3 linked regions of the Drosophila melanogaster genome follow. The protein of the gene in region 1 purifies or fractionates together with the protein of each later gene. This does not show direct contact. Each region holds a gene or a part of one and is shown in the gene's direction. Other genes may lie near its edges.

Region 1 (5,422 bases):
TATACTTTTAAAATAAAATGTTAAACTAACTATATTGCGGGGGCGAGTCCCCCTGCAATATACGAACAGCAACCGAAATCTAGATGGCAAATGAGGCGAATTTTTTTTTGATAATTCAGGCGCGTCTGCCAGTTGGCAGCTTTTGCATTTGAGGGGATTTTATTTTTATTTCGGCTTTGTTTTGCTATTGCTGGCCCAATTATTGTGTCATAACAATTACGCACGCACACACAGAGGCATAATGAGTTTCAGTTCGGTTTAGGCCCGGCTAAGCCGACTGAACAGCGAAAAGCAAGAGCCAAAGCCATCGCCGTCGCCATCACTGTCCAAAGCTGACCTAGTGGCAGACGTGTTAATGATGGATATGTTCAGATAGGCCACGACGTATAAAAAGCGTTCATTAAAGTTGCAAAAAAGCGAGGCAAAAACAAGCGAAGCCAAATGCTAATGAAAAAGAAGTTATTTTTGAACTCCCACAATTGTGTCAATAACAAGCAATTGCTATTCAAAGGACCATCACAGACTCTTGTGAGATCTGATGCAATGTTTACTCAAGATAGAAAGGTGCCACAGCGCCAAGCATATAATAAATTATGCATTAATTAAATGAGAGGTTACAGCCAGGCATTTTTCTGGCAAGGCAGCATCTGGCATGTGACCTTTTCCCGCTGCTCCAATTACACGACGGAAAGTGAAGTCCCACAAAGATGGAATTACGCCATCGATGGGCAAGAGACCTTCGCCGGAATCTCTCGACCACAATAAACCGAATTAACGACAGTGGCAGCCACAGCAGATCTAAGCTGTTCCGAGCCACGAAAATGATTTAGCGCACTGTCATTGAGTCCGCTGCCTCCGCCATCGAGTGTGAAGTGTTGACTTTCATCTCATTGTTGCCCCCGAACCCAATCCCAACCCAGTGCCCAGTCGAAACCCATCCCCACCCGACGCCGACCGCCAACTGCAGATCGTGCCCCAACGCAGATAGTCCTTCACTTTGGAGCGTGAAGGTTTCCGAAGAGCCTTTAATACACCCGCAGAAAAGGCCGTTTGCTGATTTCGATGATGATTTAAACATGATAATAAGGAAATGAAAGAAAAGAAACGAAAAAAAGAAAACCACTAAATATCATAACAAATCAAATACTTCTACGATCACAGAATAATGGTTGAGATATGTCCTTACTTTTCACCTGACATTCAAAGTACATGATGTTGATTTCTCTGCATGAAGCGGAGCCAAAGTTATTGCCGGTTTTGGGTATATGCGAAAGTGTGAGTCGAGATGTAAATAAACCTCATTTAGTCCAATTTACGGCAAGGTTCACTTCCACTTGCATGCAGGCGTCTTCCCTTTCATCGTGTGTCTTTTCTGCAACTTATGGTTGCCATCTGCGACTGCACAGGTGCTCATCCGAAGACATGACATAATGGGCACAATGCGGCCTCCAGTCCATCGGGGACTTCTTTCACTTCTGCCAGAATGAGCGCAGATATCTGGCTTTCGATCTTATTTCGAGGTCATTTGGTTGGGTTAAATTAAACGTGGTTAAGTTAACTTAACCAATATGACAAACTATGAGTGCAGGTAATATACATATTTAGCTCTGGCATTCCCAACTGCATACCTTCCAAAGCGTAAAGTGCACTTTTCAGGCTCTTGCGATTGCAGCACTCATCTGCAAATGTACAAACTCGTGTAATTACGCTCCTTGGGAAACATTAATTATACGCCCCGTGGTGCCATGGCCCTACTGCTCCACATCGAGATCGTACGAATTATACGGGCCTCGGGCCCGTCCCGGTCCCCGTCTCCGGCCCTCCTGACTCCCCCGATTCGCATTTCCCAGCCCATTTCGTAATCTTCGTGCCCATGTGACGCTGATGCTGATGGATGACGAGCCCAGGTTGCGACTTACCCACAATTGAAATGCAACTGCAGTTGGGCAACGGGAAACGCGAATTGCAGTTTCGTCAGTGGAGCCATACCTCATGGCCAAGAGAAATATGTTTTGGAAGCCGCCATGATCCTCCTGGGCTGTCGAAAAATCTCAGTGGCTGCGGCTGGGTTACTTACCTTCGGAATCGATCGCGGTGGTGGGAAAAATCACTTCCTGGTCCGCGCGAATCGAAGGAAAGTGCCAAAGAAAATTTCAAATACCAAAATCGTTAGCGACATTTTATTTTTTTCGGCCTTTTTTTCTTCTGCCTCTACGTTGTTTTCCAATTGGAAATTTTGTTTTATTGTGAGAAGCGCCCAGCAGCAAAAGAAACAAGTTGCAGACGAAGTTTGGCGATAATGACGTTGCCGAGTGGACGAGTTGGCCCGAAAGCTGAAGAGCAGCTGAGCACCGGCGGGTATAAAGAGTGGCTCTGCTGGCCGTGGAGATGCATTCAGTCGCTGGTTCCCCACTCGGAAGCAACCAAATTCACTCCACTCTACTCTACTCAACTCTTCCCCCCAACAAACACACTCACCCGAAACGTCGCTATGAACTCCTTCTCAGTGGTAAGTAACACACGATCCCGACGACCTCAAGACCCCAGACCCCAGAGCCGATTAAACCTGGACGCAAGCGGATTACACCCCTTACGGGATTTAGAAAGAATAGCCCTGTCAGACCGCAAACGCTGCAATTGGATTTCAAAAAAACTTCAATAGTTTCAAAAACTCTCCTTGTGCCTTAATCTATGGGATTTCAATTCACATTCCACAAAAAGACGCATTCGAGTTATTTAAGAGAATTCAATTGATGAGATCACCAGTTTGATATGGAATTTGCACTAACCTCCACTACCTACTTTCAGTTCTTAGTGTTCGCGCTGGCCGCTCTTGCTGCAGCAGAGCCACCATCCGGATATAACTATCCCCGCGGCGGAGGTGGTGGTGGCGGCGGATTTGGAGGTGGCTTCGGCGGCGGATTCGGAGGCGGACTAGGAGGTGGCGGCGGTGGTGGCGGCGGCGGCTACCAGGCTGTGAGCGGCGGCTTCCAGACGTCCGAGGGCCAGAACGTGGATCCCCAGCTTTTGGAGCAGGTGCGCCAGATCCTGCTGAACGAGGAGAGCAAGCAGGGCGGCGGTGGTGGTGGAGGCGGTGGTGGCGGCGGTGGTGGCTACCCCAGTGGCCCATCCAGCAGCTACGGTCCACCTTCCACCAGCTACGGAGCCCCCGGAATCGGAGGCGGTGGCCGTGTCGTGGGCATCGACCTGGAAGGCGTCCGCCAGGCCATCCAGGTGGCTCAGTTCGCCCAGCAGAGCTCGCAGCAGGGAGGTGGCGGCGGTGGATATCCCAGCGCCCCATCCGGATCGTATGGAGCCCCTTCAAGGCCCAGCGGCAGCTATGGAGCGCCCTTCTAGATCTTCGCACAGGTCTCACATCCGAAAGACACACCTCTGCCAAAAATGAATACCGACGGACACGAAACCGACAAAGACGACACCAACACTATACAAATTTGGGCAACCTGGATCTAATAATGGAACTACCGATCACCGATCCGCTCTGATCCCGAGAGAACTGGAGATCGCTTCCCCTTCTCAAGCCCTCTTCCCGAACTCAGCGACTGTACCCCAACACTCTGAAACGTCCGTTCCCCGGAAACCCCAAACAATTCGGGACTTCGTCTCGGGCCTTTTTGTAACCCTTGTAAATAGTTTCTCACACTACACGAATACAAGAAAACCCGAAAACGAAAGCCACACAACAACACCCACAACACCAAGATGGAAAACACCCCACAAAGTGTTATAACGCATTACTAGCTCGTAAGTGTTTTTATTTTATATGAAACAAACAAAGAAACAACAAAAAAATATGAAAACAATAAAAAAAATAGTAAATTTTGTCACCGTTAAATGATTGCAATATTTTCATTTCAATACCGTGAATCCATGGGAGTTTCGAAATTATGGCTATCTCGCCAAATGTCATTACATCTAATGAAACTGACCTCGTTCCGCATTGCTCACCACCAAAACACTCGATGATCTCGTAATGACAATCCACTCACATGGACCCACCATTCCAATTGATCGGACTCGCAGCTCTACGTAAGCCGAGTTGTCACTGGCCCCATGTCAGTGTTTTTAAATACCAAGCCAAGCATCTCCGCCAATCCTTTCACTTTTACACTCGATAATAAGGTAGCTTTAACCCCTGGCCTATCTTCACGTACACTGAGCCAATCAATTGGTCTTGTGTTATCACTAGTTGCAAATACTAAATTACATATATAAATGATTTAAGTTACAAGCTAATATAATAACATTATACTTAGGAAAATATCTTGCAGATACCAGATACATATGATCCATGTCTTTAACTGCTCATTGGAGGCAGGGTTGTAGCCCCTTTTTTGCTGTGTACGAGGTACTCTCAGTCGTGCAAGTGCTTAAAATGGAAGATGTGGTTGAAGATGGGGATGTGGATGGCAGATGGAGCCGGAGGGGCGCTCATTACGCGAACATTGCGACATATGCAGCCGAGACTCTGGGCCAACTGCAGCTGCTGGCGGGAAAGGCGATGGGGGAATGATGAGTCGATGGACATCGACAATTACCACGACCGAAGTTGGAGTTGTGGCCCAGAGCCATAAATGAAGTGGCAGCTGAATCTGAAGCTGTAGCCACTTAACCAACATTCGCATCATTAGATTTCCCAATTGAATGCGTGCCGAGGTGGCCGTCCTCTATGTACATATACATATATATGTACATACGTGGAAGTGCACCCAAAAAGCTGCACTATGAGATGCCTTATGATGAGACGCCAAACGAAGTGGAAGCTGTGGAATACCCCGATTACGACATCGTAGCCACCACAACTGCTGATGGTCCTACGGTATAATCATATTGACGCATTATGCATACTCCAAATGGACGAGCGAAATTTGAAAGTAGTAACGGATGGAAATTGAGCTTATTGAGTTTATTCTGTTGTAGTTTTACAACTTGAGATATACTTGAGATAATAAGGGAGATTACAATAACTGAACTAAGCCTTAGTTCCATATTAGCTGCAGATTAATAAAACCTATTTCTGTAGTTACAGAAAGAACCGCAGTAATTCCATTACGTTAATGATAAGAATCAGCATCTATCAAAGCTATCTGTGTTATTTTTGAAAACTCACTATAGGCCCATAAAACTCTATCCCCTGGCCCTCGATAAGCGTCAACAACGGAGTGGCCTTGTCTGGGGCCAATTCCGGAGTGCGATGTCCGAGAGAGCTCTATCTGAGAAGAGCTCCTAGGGTGACTGGCAAGGCGAGAATGACTGGAGGTTCTCAGCAGGATTATAATCGAGATTTAAGGGTAAACATCCAACGGTGGCTGGATGACAGCGAAAACAATGAATGAGTGCGTGCCGGATTACGTAATCTCGGCCAACTCTGGAGCTCTTATCGGACTCCCACTGTGAGTGA
Region 2 (4,997 bases), on another chromosome or scaffold:
CCTGCGACGACCGAACTTTATATGGCTACCATCGCACACGATTCTGGCTGTGCTTCTGGTTCTGTTGGTGATTCTCTGATTCTAGGTGGGATCAGGCGCCACCACCGTCGGCGTGTCCGTTGCGTGGCAGCCACGCGCTCGTACTCGCTGTTTATTGTATCCATTTTGCGCCATTAAAAATAATATCATTCTGATTGAGTGACGCGCCGCTTAAGTACTTTCCTTCTTCGTTGTCCTCGCACTGACACCATTTTCCGCCTGCCGCCGCTTTCCTTTTTATTGAACACGCAAAGTGTCGGCATTGCATTGGTGTATTATATGGTATTTCTTTTTTCCCACACCCAAATGCCTTTTCATTACCCCGTTCGCGATTGTTTTTTGGGTGGGCCCTCGCCTCCTGGCACCTCGCATCATTGTGGATACGCAGCCCAGACAAAAGGCAAGTGAAACCCATGCTAATGGAGCGAGGGGTTGCCCAATGGATTTCTCCACCACACACTGTTTTGACATTAGCCCCATTTCGTAGGGTACCTTCGCTATACAGTGAGGTTTTACTAAGATAGCAATTTAATAGAAAATTGAATACATTAAATTAGCTTTTTCTTCTATTGATTTATAAATGCATCTTCTTTGGTGCATAATTATCTAAAGCACTTTAGTTGCACTGCAAAAGTTCTTTCACAATAGATCACTTAAGAACCCTTATATTTTAACTTTTCTCTCGGTATTTGCTTTATGCAAGCTCAAAAGTGCGCAGTTTTCTAAGGACACAGTCCGTTCAGTTTCAATTTACCCCATATCTGGCAAGAATCTTAACCTTGGTGCCACACAATTCCCGACTTTAGTGCTACATAAAGCAAGGCAACCCGCGAAACGTGAGTTTTCCGGCGACCCAGTGAGAATAACCAAGTCAATTTCCCGTTTCCATCACTCCTGTTCCCCAATTACTTGCCAAAGTTTCGCCGACAGCTGATGGCTGCACTTTCTCCCCTTCGCGCCTCTGGGTGTTCATTTGCATTCGAGAAGTTGGAGCCATCTATCAAAGACTTCGTTAGCATCGCGTGACTGAATGTTGTCCGGAAATTAGAACCACCCACTCAAGCCGAAGAAGATTTTTTTTTGACAAGTTTGGGCAGCAGGATTAGTTTATGGATTAGTGATAAATAATCTTATCAGACGATGTGATGCAATTGAGTGCGAATATTTCCCCATCGCACATTTAATTGGCATGGAAATATTTCTGGGTGTGGCAGGCCAATACTTTATGTGTAAGTCTGACAATTTGATGGATGCAATAAAATATTATGGCTGCGGCTGTGGCAAAGAATCTTAATTGAATGGCAGCGCGCTGCATTGGAGCCAATCGGTGTCAGAGTCACCGAACCAACCAATTGGCCAACTCGAGTGCACAGGAGAAAAGCAGCTAATTTTGGAAAGGAGTTTTGTGTTGTTAAGGTATAAATTTGTATTTCAAGATTAAATTCAAAAGATTTTTTTTGATTCCGAATCCTATTCACTTGATGCAAAATCCTTTTTTGATTTACCTACAATTACTAAGTATTCCTCTCAGTGTAGCCATAAACAGCACGAAAAGCACTTGACGGCAATGAATTCTGACACACGTGTGCCAACCACTCAAACTTCCCCACCGCCCACCTGGCTGGTGGTTCGACCCTCAATGTTCTCTACTCACGCAACAATGACATCGGGATCCTCCCACCACTTCTTGTTGGAAGGCTGCAGCAGCAGGCTGACCTGTCGCCAGTGGTTCTTGTGCACCACCTTTGGATGAACATAAAAGTTGGAGATTAATGCTCATTTTATGGACTGTATTCCGGCAGTGGTTACCTTATACTTTTTGGGATCGTATGCATTGTGATCTTTCTCCGTAAACACCAGGCGTGCCATTTTAAAGCCTCCGAATCCTTTCTAGAACCAAGCCTGATTCTGCTTCTCAGTGGGAGTTCTTTACATCAAGTATAGTACTCGAAAATATAAAGTATGCTTGCTTGAAACGGAATTAGTTATTTGTGTATACTGACTGAAGATTTTGCTTTGACAAAAGCTTTAATTGACTGTTAAATGAAAGATATAGTGTTGTTAAATTTTTAATTTCACAAAAATTTACCCTAAAATGTACAGCTCTTACTTAGAAAAAATTAAACGTATGACAATCTCTACTGATATTCAAATGTTTTGTAATTTATTACGTAGAATTGCTTTCCGACTTAAAAGCGAAAGTGGTTTGATTTACTTATCGTTTCTTAATGGAATCAATAAATATGTTCTATATATACAATTACGGATTACTCTACAAAAGGGGGTATAACTTAACATATATTAAATTATAAACCATTATTTTATATTTAAATACCAAATAAAATTTACAAAATTTAATTTTCATATTTTAAGGATTGGTAATATTTGTAGTGAAATCGTTTCCTACATATGGACTCTGATTTTTATATGGTATTCCTGGACATATGTTGGCGTTGACTGCATTAGTGATATGCAAATGCAATCGAGAAATCTATAGTCGGTGACCAAAATGGATCAGTTTGCCGACAACTGGCGGCCGGCACATTAATTTCAGGGCGAGCTAACCGAAGTGAATTTAATTACATTCTGCTGATGAAATTTAAATGGACAGCCAGTGGTGCTGAATGTGTGTGGGGCGATGGTGGTACAGAGGCACAGTGGTGCTGCGGTGGCTTGTAATTTGCCTATCCATTGTTGTTAGGGGCACCCGAGACATGGCTTTAGTGTATATCATATACAGATATTGAAGTCATGGTTATGGATTGGCCGAATCAAATGAGACCAGTCTTGTTTTCGTCATGTCAACCGGTGTGGCTAATTGTCGCGCACTTGAATTGTCGTCAATGAATTGTGGTTATTGATTCGGGAAGGTCAAGGGGTTCGGGTTGGGGTTGGGGTTGGGACTGAAGGTATTACGTGGTTTGTTCTCTGGCCCGGTTTCCGCATTTGTGCAGCAAACATACACATGGCTGATCAATCCGAGAACTGGCCTTATATGCTAAATGAAATTATGGATCGGAGCTATAAAAGCACTTGGCCAACGGGCAGATGTCAGTTAGTTTCGTTTCAAGCGTCACTGAGATCACAAAAGCCAACATGAAGGTGAGATTGAAGGGATATCGGATAACTGGAGCTTAGTTACAGCTAGTGTTATGTAAAAGGACAACATGAAGGGATTTATGTTGTTTTTAGTAAAACATTTCTATACAAATTGGTATGCTGCAAAAGTAGACATAAAAGATCTTTATCGAGTTATACATAAATTAATATCAGATCGCTGAACACATTACGACCCCATTCAGAGAAACTCCAAAATTAAAAAAACTTCAAATAAGTTATTTTTATCATAGTTCCTGAGTTTCCATCTAAATCAAGATTCTTATTTTCAGTTCGCCGTTGTCGTAGTCCTGTTCGCTTTGGCCTGGGGTGTCAACAGCTCGGTGGTGCCTCTCCTGACCTCCGCCCATGGTCTGGTGGTCGGTTCTCCCGCCGTCGCCGGTTCGGTGGCCATCCAGGCATCTGCGGTTCCCGCTGCCGTTCCCCTGTCCCTGTCCCCAGCCGGACCCGTGCTCATCCAGTCTGGACCAGCGGTGGTTGCCGCTCCCGTTCCCGCCGCTGTGGTTGCTGCCCACGCCCCCGCCGTGGTGGCCGTCGCCGCTCCGGAGGCCAGCTATGTGGCCAAGACCCGTGGAGCTGTCCATGTGGCTCCTCTGCCAGGACATGTGCAGTCCGCTGCTTCCGTGAACTTGGAACCCGCACCAGGCACCTGGTAATCACCTGAAATGACTTCTGGATTACCCCTACATTGATCCTGACCGCCACTTGCTCGCATCTTTACCACATTTTTTGGTTTTTTAAGTTACCGAAAGGTCTGTCCTCTGCTGAGATCCCGTTGGGTTCTCATTTCTTCAGCAATCTAAGTCAATCCTATCCAGTCTATCGCTTTCCGCTTTACTCTCTGGTCTATATTTATCCACCCCGCTGTTGTCACATGGAAATTTGTTTCTTTTTGAATAAAAAAATGTTATTAAAACAGTTGAAAGGCGTTTTAGTTACGGTTGCTAGCGCTTAAGTAACTATTTATATGCCATTAGCAGATGTATCTAGATCGTGGTCCCAGAATATTTATTTCAAATAATTTTTACGCAATTACCAGGGGATCGACTCACCTTTTTTAACGGCAATTAGAAGCCACACCCTTAGCCCAACTCCCACGCCTTCAAGTGCAGCAAACATTGGACAGCTAAATGGCTTAAAACAATCTCGATCGATGGCCGATTACCGATGCCAGTAATTAATCAATTCCGGGGCCTCAGACCGGCGCTACAGCAGGGGCGTTGACAAAAAGCCGCTCCAGAAATGAGACGCAGTTGCTCGGCAGCTGGACAACTTTGTTGCCAACTCATAGTACAAACTGCCGTCGAACCGAACTGGTCTTTGAACTGAAAACGAGAGTACTACTCGATCTGGAGCAGGGGCGGTTTGCCTTGATCGCCGCACACTCGCACTTGCAATTATTAATAGAAAAATGTGCACAAACTTGATATGGCCGCGATGAAGTTAAGTAATGCCCATGCAAAGTAATGCGGTTCAGATCAAATCCGCCTTAACGCCCACTGCAGACCCCTGAAACCCGTTAGGCGATGATCCCGATTCCGATGGGATATATAGGACTATATGCTGTTATATCTAGTGAAATATATGAATAGTAAATTGCAATTTATATTAAATATTAATAATTTCAGTATGCCAAAAATATAGTTGAACTTTCTTCTTTGCACTTCCAGCGGCTGAGTAAGGAGTAACTGATAGTTGAGGAAATCGACTCAAGCGTTCTTTCTTATGTCTATATATTTTTTTATAAGACATTTAAAATTATAATTTTCAGGGTATCCCATATGGTGAGTTCAATACAAAAATATTAAATATACTGGCTTAATGCCCCAACATTTTGACCG
Region 3 (6,474 bases), on another chromosome or scaffold:
CAATTTCGGCGACTGTCGGCCGGCTTACATGGCGTATGCGCAACTTGATTAATTTATTACTCGGCGCATGTCTCTGAGTGCGTATGTAATTGTAATTGACATTCAAGTCGATTACTTCCTTATTTGGTTTTAAGTCAATTTTAGTGACGCATAGTTCGCTTCACTCGGGTAAACCTTTTGGAGCGTGAAATAAACATATTATTTTATCACTCAATTAATAATAATACAAAATACAGAAAATCTTAAGCCGTTTGCAACATTTTACTAATCATAGCTTATTCATAAGCCCTGCAAATCCAGTAAGTTATTATAATTTTTAAAAGCAATCTGCTTATTTGCCATCGCAAGCACTGCGGCTTCCATTAAGCCCATTATAATTATACTACAATTACCATTCCATCGACAGACAACAATCTCCCATCGCAGCACATTTAATGCACTATCATCGCACTGAACGGCAAAATCGAGAAGACCTTGAACTTGAGACGATTGCAAAGTAACTCCGAGAGCATCAGCACTCGCTTTATTTCCATTATAATTTTCCATTACACTGCCCTTTCCCTTTTTTTTTCGTGGTATAAACCTGGGGATATTTTGTATCTGCTTTTTTTTTTCTTCTTTTTGCCGCTGACAGCTGGCAGTTGAGTTATGAATGCTTTTAGTGGAGGTTCGCCGAAACTGAGTCAGTCGAGCAGTTCCAAAATCGGCAATAACAGAAACAATGTCCAACCGAAAGTGACCGCCGCGTGGTTTGCATTCCTGATATGGGACACGTACGGTGTCCGTCGTTTTTTTTTGTGGTCTACTTCGTCGGCGATTCTGTGGCCCCAGGGACCAACGACCGTCCTCGGTCTGGGCGCGCCAAATCCGTAGGCATCGCGACACATCCGGATTTTGTGTCTGTTTTTTATATTTTCATTTAAGTCTTAAACGGTAGCCGCATTATGCGTAGCTCAGAAGTTATCTCCTCTTGTCGAGTGATTAATTTTAATTTTTTTTTTTCGCTTTTATTGCTGAATAATTTTTATTTACTGCTTGCAATCGATAAATTTTTGTTGTTCGAAAAAGGGCATTTCATGTTGGCCATTCCCGTGCGGCCTGCAGTCGTTGACCGCTTTGAACTGACCTTGCCGCGCGAATTTTCGTTAATTTCAACTTTGTGGTCACCGCTTTGCTGCACTGGTCCGGGATGCTGTTGTTTATGTTTTTCAGACTTTTCTGGTTTTTATCGCCCATCAAGGTGATAGGTTTGCATATAAATGACGCTAGAACAAAAGACTTTGGCGACGAACTCGTGGTGACTAAACATGTGTACGAATTCACTGTGAGAGCAGTCAAAAGAATTGGTTTGCCCCAAGATATTTATTTTAATGGGAATGAATCATTGGACTGCGTAGCGGAAGTTTATTCGTAGCTAGGGAATCGATTATGATGAAGTCCGTTTGCCAATAAGCAAAAAAAAAAAACTAAACACCAGTTTTAAAAACCTTTTTCGAAGCATTTTTAACATAAAGTAAATATTTCAGTAGTTTAGATACTTCCTTTATAAATTGCATGCTGTAAAAATAGTTATACGACTTTAGAAGTTTTTCAGCCAGCTTTAAGCACCACATTTTTTTCCAAACACAGAATAATACTTTTTTAAATCCAAAGACTAAGTACATCGGCTAAACTCTAGAGAGCCTTACGTATAATGAATTACTGATTTTACAGCAATATTTACATTTTTGTTTATGTATGTTTTTATGGCTAATTTTGCACATCATAAAAGATTCACTACTAAGGCAAAGACAACAAGATCTAGCATACTGCGGCTGAAAAGTGGCTTTGGCGTCGACCAGCCAAATTTGCAACTGTCGAGATTCACAAGTCGGATGGATTGACTGGACATAAACAGAGATCACGGAGGCTAACTTGGTGATTTGGCTTGGCGTTGGTGCGTGGCACGGTAGTCGCTAGTAAAAATTCAATTAGCAAATTAAATATTAATTACCAGACGGGTCTCTATGCTAATTGAATTAGCAATAGTAGCAGCTGGCAAATAACTAAATAAAGGAAAAAGTATTGGGGGTTTTTAAGTTGGAATGCTGCGAAGATGGAGTTTTTGAGGATTCGTTTTAATATTATCCAATATTTGGCACCTATTTTTTCTGACATAATTGTTTAAATTAAAGAATGTTGTATGAAAAGTGGAAATTGCAATTTAAAATTTGAAATTTTGATATTATAACGATTGCATTTTTGATTATACAATGCAATTACGTTTCATTAAGTTTTATTTTGGTTTAATAATAAATGTCTCATTTTAACATACTACCTTATAAATAAATCTTTTGTTTTTATGTCCAGTAATGCATTATACATTAATATTTTAAGTGGGCCTTAATTTATATCAACCAAATTAAAATGTCAGATGATAAAATTACGTTTGAGAGTTTTATTTTGTTTCCTTTTTTGTAACAATGCAAGTTCTAATATTTTCGGAGCACAGCTGTTTATACTAATATTATTTCTCCTCGTGACAGGTGCCAATGCTATTCTCGCCCGGCTGATTAAAGTATATAATTTGCCGCTCGGCTGTGAATTTAGTGTGAGGCCAGGCCCAAGATGAACCAGTTTGCGGTTGGAAAGTGTGGCAGCCTAGAGTCGGACAAGGTCCCTGATCAGGAATAGCCCTGGCGATATAGCCCAAGTTCCCTGTCGGATTTTTTGATATTTTTTATTTTAATAATTTTTTTTTTGATTTTCTGACTTTCCGACATGACTGCTTCATAAATTCACACTCACTTAAGCCTGCAATTAGCGGTCGAGCAAAAAGCTCCCATCGCTTTGGAGCTTTGGCGCTCTGTTGCTCTCTTTTGGGAAGGTTTTGTCTTTTGCTCACCGCTCTCGGCGTTCAGTTGATCGACGGCAAGCTCTCGAAACGGACGCAGATTTTTGTAAGTCGCCGCCGCGCCTGCGCATTTTAAATCAGTTGCAACAAAAAAACAACGAGAGGCAGCGAAGACGAAATCGAATTGTGTTTTTATTTGTTTGCTTTTGTTTTGTCTGTGTGTTATGCCATGCACAAAACCACCGTGTTCGTAAAAGTGGAGAAAAATCAAAAATCGAAAATTCAAGCCGAAATAAGTTTGCCAAAACAAAAAGAAACCGCAAAAGCCGCGTTATAATAACGCAAATAACGGTATTAAGTTTGAAGCTCATCTAGTTATTTATGCTTTGCTCCTCGTGGTTGTCTGCAAAAATAAAACAAAAAAGCTTAAAACAAACAACAGTGTCGAAAAACCTTAACAATTTGCGCGCACATAAAATATAATTAAAGCCAGCAAATTTTTGCCTTAAACATAAAAAAGTTAATCAACTTGGTTGCAATTAAATGTTGCAATTTATTTTTTTGCAACTAAAGTGCGAAATATTCAGTGCAATACAATAACAAAAATAAATAAGTTTCTCTGAAGCAATACAAATAAAAGTTTCTCTGTAGAAATATAAATAAAAAAATACCAAAATCCATATTATCAAAAATTCAATAAGATATGTAAATAAATAGTTTGGTATACTCAAGCAAAAATAGAATGCTGAACAATGGATAATAAATTATTTATTTTTTTGGGTAACAAACTGATTGCCGAGACTTAAAAGACACCGAGAACTAAAAATAAAATATGATAGATCAAACAAAAAAATTCCCAAACATCTAAAGAGGGAGTCCGCCATTCCTCAAACGTATGTGTGATGGGTGTATGTGTGGGTGGGAGCGGGAAAATTGTGTTGGTAATTTCTAATGCACATTTTCCCTTTAGTATTACCCAACACAATGTTTTATTACCCTTACAGGAGTAACAGGAGTAACTAAACCTTTGATATTTCGATATTTATTAAAACATGAAAAAGAAAATTGATTATAACAACTTCCAGCAATTTTAAACCTTTTTTTTGTATTTTCCGCGAAAGCGTACATAAAGAGCGTATTTTTTTTAATACCCCTTCCTTTTACTGTATTTTCCTGCCTGCCCTTTTAGTTGTCGTTGAATTTGTATGACGTGTGTGCATCAGGTTGATTTTTGTGATGCGTTTTGCCTATGTAATTTCCATGTCAGGCGTTGGGATTACTTCATCTCCCGTTTCATTTCCTATATGGCCAGATGATTCAAACCAAACTGACCAGCGCAAAAATGAAAACAAAAACTACTGCTACAAAAAAACTAAAAAAAAAAGTTGCACGAAAAAGCCGGTTGAAGGCAACTCTTACATATTTACACGCACCAGCGCTCATTGAACACACGCCGCCAGCAGCAACAACAAAGCTAGCACGGGAAAAAATTGTTTTAAACAGTTACTAATATTTTTATTAATATATTAGTAAGGATTATATTGATAAATAACAGTACTACAAAAAGTAATATCAAGATATTCATAATATTCATATATGACATAAATCATACAATTCCGAGTAATTATTTTCTCTCACTGCATTACAGCAACAGCAACAAAAGCAATATCAACAGGGCGACACAGAAACCTGTTGTTGTAGCTCTTGGTGCCTCTCTTGCTGTCTCTGTCTCGTCAAAAGACATTTGCAGAGTTTCCAGCTGCGTGTTGATTATGTCAATTTCATGTTTACTTCATTTCCTCAATCCACCGGCAAAGGTGTTAGAGAGAGGGGTATAGTGGGCGGAAAGGGGTGCGCCAGCAATTTCACTTTCGTTGGACTTGAAAATAAAAGCTGCAGTCTCTGTGGCAGTGTGAGCGAGTGCGAGAGAGAGAGAGAGAGAGAGATTATTGGAGCAAGATGGAAGGAGGTTGGAGCTTGGGAAAGAGAGCAAGTGAGAGTGAGAGTGCGCACAGCAAGTGTGCTGCATACGGTACTTGGATGCTGGTGCTGCTGATGCCTCACTTGCTTTGTGGGGCGTTGCTGCACCGTGGGTTATTGCTATTTAATGTTCTTGAGCATAAAATTGTGGATCGTGACTTTGGGCTCAGCAAATAATTCGTTTCACTAATCCGTATTGTTTCATATATAATATATTTTAAAAACCAGGTGACTAGTCACAATAACTAACTAACTGACTAGTTACAATAAAAGTTTTACCCAATTTTTTCAGATATTATGATGAAATCTTAAAAGAAGTGATACCAATTAGAATGGCTAAGCTCTGAGATATTTGAAGATTATTATTATTATTTTTGTTTATGAATTGTTATACTCTCAGTTTTCATATTTGCTTGAAAAGTTAGTTTGTTGATGTTTTAAGAACAATTATATGAATTTTGCAATGTTCATACGTCAATATAAGGATTATTATGTTACCATCCTTTTAATAACTGTACCACTGTGCGCCGGCGTCTTTTGTGTGCTACTCGTCGCATATTTTCCGTTTCGTTTTGTAACTGTAATGTCTGTTTTTCCCATTGTCCGATTGTTGCTGGTTGTCGCTTTTGTTTTGCGCTTATAACGTAATAACGTAATGTGCTCGAAGATTTCCACATGCGATGCGTCGCACCTTACGTTTTGGTGCCAAGTCCATCGCCGACGTCGACGTTCATTGTTTTTGCAGGCAATTGAGCCAATAAACTGACGCGAATCGTAGCGACTTACAAATTCCTGTCCGAAAAATATGCGAAGGTCAACCAGAGGGGCAGCACCAACAACCACAACGATATCGAATCCATAACAAAATAGTTGAGAACTCCCGCAAGTGGAGTTTCATACGAGTATGTTTGGTATTCGCACCTTCAAACATGATTTCACGGACTGTCAGCTTGGCAAAAATTCTAATTATAAATGAAACAATTTATTACCGGGTTTTTAAAATAAAATGCAATTTATGTGCAAAGTCTGGCGGCGGCGGCGGACTTGACTAGTTAAACCGGTTGACTGCCAGCAGCAGCAGCAGCAATGAAAAAAAATGGAAAAAGAACCATTGACTCAATGGGGGTGCAGTCAGCAACAGCAAATTGCAACTGCAAGGAAAACATTTTTCTTAAATATACGGAATTAATTAATAGAAGTTAAACAAAGGATAATTTCTTTAATAAATTCTAAACATTTATTTATTACGGCAGTGGTGAATTCGACAAAAAAAATTATAATTTAACCAAATGTATTTATTTGAAATCTATAAATTACATCTATATAATAAAACAAAAGCTTCGTTATATAACTCAGCAATAAATCTACTAAGTGCAATGTATAAAAAATCCTAATGAACATGTAGTTCAAAAATAACTCTAATAAATTTATCTCGAATAAATCAAACCGTTTAAAATCAAATAATTGAATACATGTTCACAGCTGTGAAAACAAGAATATTTTCGGCAAAATATTTCAACAAGCATAACCGATGTGTGTGTAAAATTTGTGCCTGTCTATATTATTTAATTCATTAATCATAAATGCAAATTTCTTGATTGTTTAGATACGTCTTAACGGCTAACTCGAAGCTATAAATTGGACATCAAAATTGGATTATA

Evidence for each region.
Region 2: the proteins of CG2150 (region 1) and CG7203 purify together in Drosophila melanogaster (affinity purification with mass spectrometry, with the first as the bait; one large-scale study listed by BioGRID). This does not show direct contact.
Region 3: the proteins of CG2150 (region 1) and mol purify together in Drosophila melanogaster (affinity purification with mass spectrometry, with the first as the bait; one large-scale study listed by BioGRID). This does not show direct contact.

What each region holds. Positions count from the first base shown.
Region 1 is NT_033777.3:31,761,735-31,767,156, reverse strand, and holds CG2150 (uncharacterized protein), read left to right. Parts: upstream 1-2,384; 5' UTR 2,385-2,491; coding exon 2,492-2,509; intron 2,510-2,808; coding exon 2,809-3,357; 3' UTR 3,358-3,853; downstream 3,854-5,422.
Region 2 is NT_033779.5:7,751,246-7,756,242, reverse strand, and holds CG7203 (uncharacterized protein), read left to right. Parts: upstream 1-3,056; 5' UTR 3,057-3,135; coding exon 3,136-3,141; intron 3,142-3,428; coding exon 3,429-3,812; 3' UTR 3,813-4,073; downstream 4,074-4,997.
Region 3 is NT_033779.5:14,993,981-15,000,454, reverse strand, and holds the start of mol (moladietz), read left to right. Parts: upstream 1-2,895; 5' UTR 2,896-2,939; exon of another isoform or gene 2,940-3,741; intron 3,742-6,419; 5' UTR 6,420-6,474.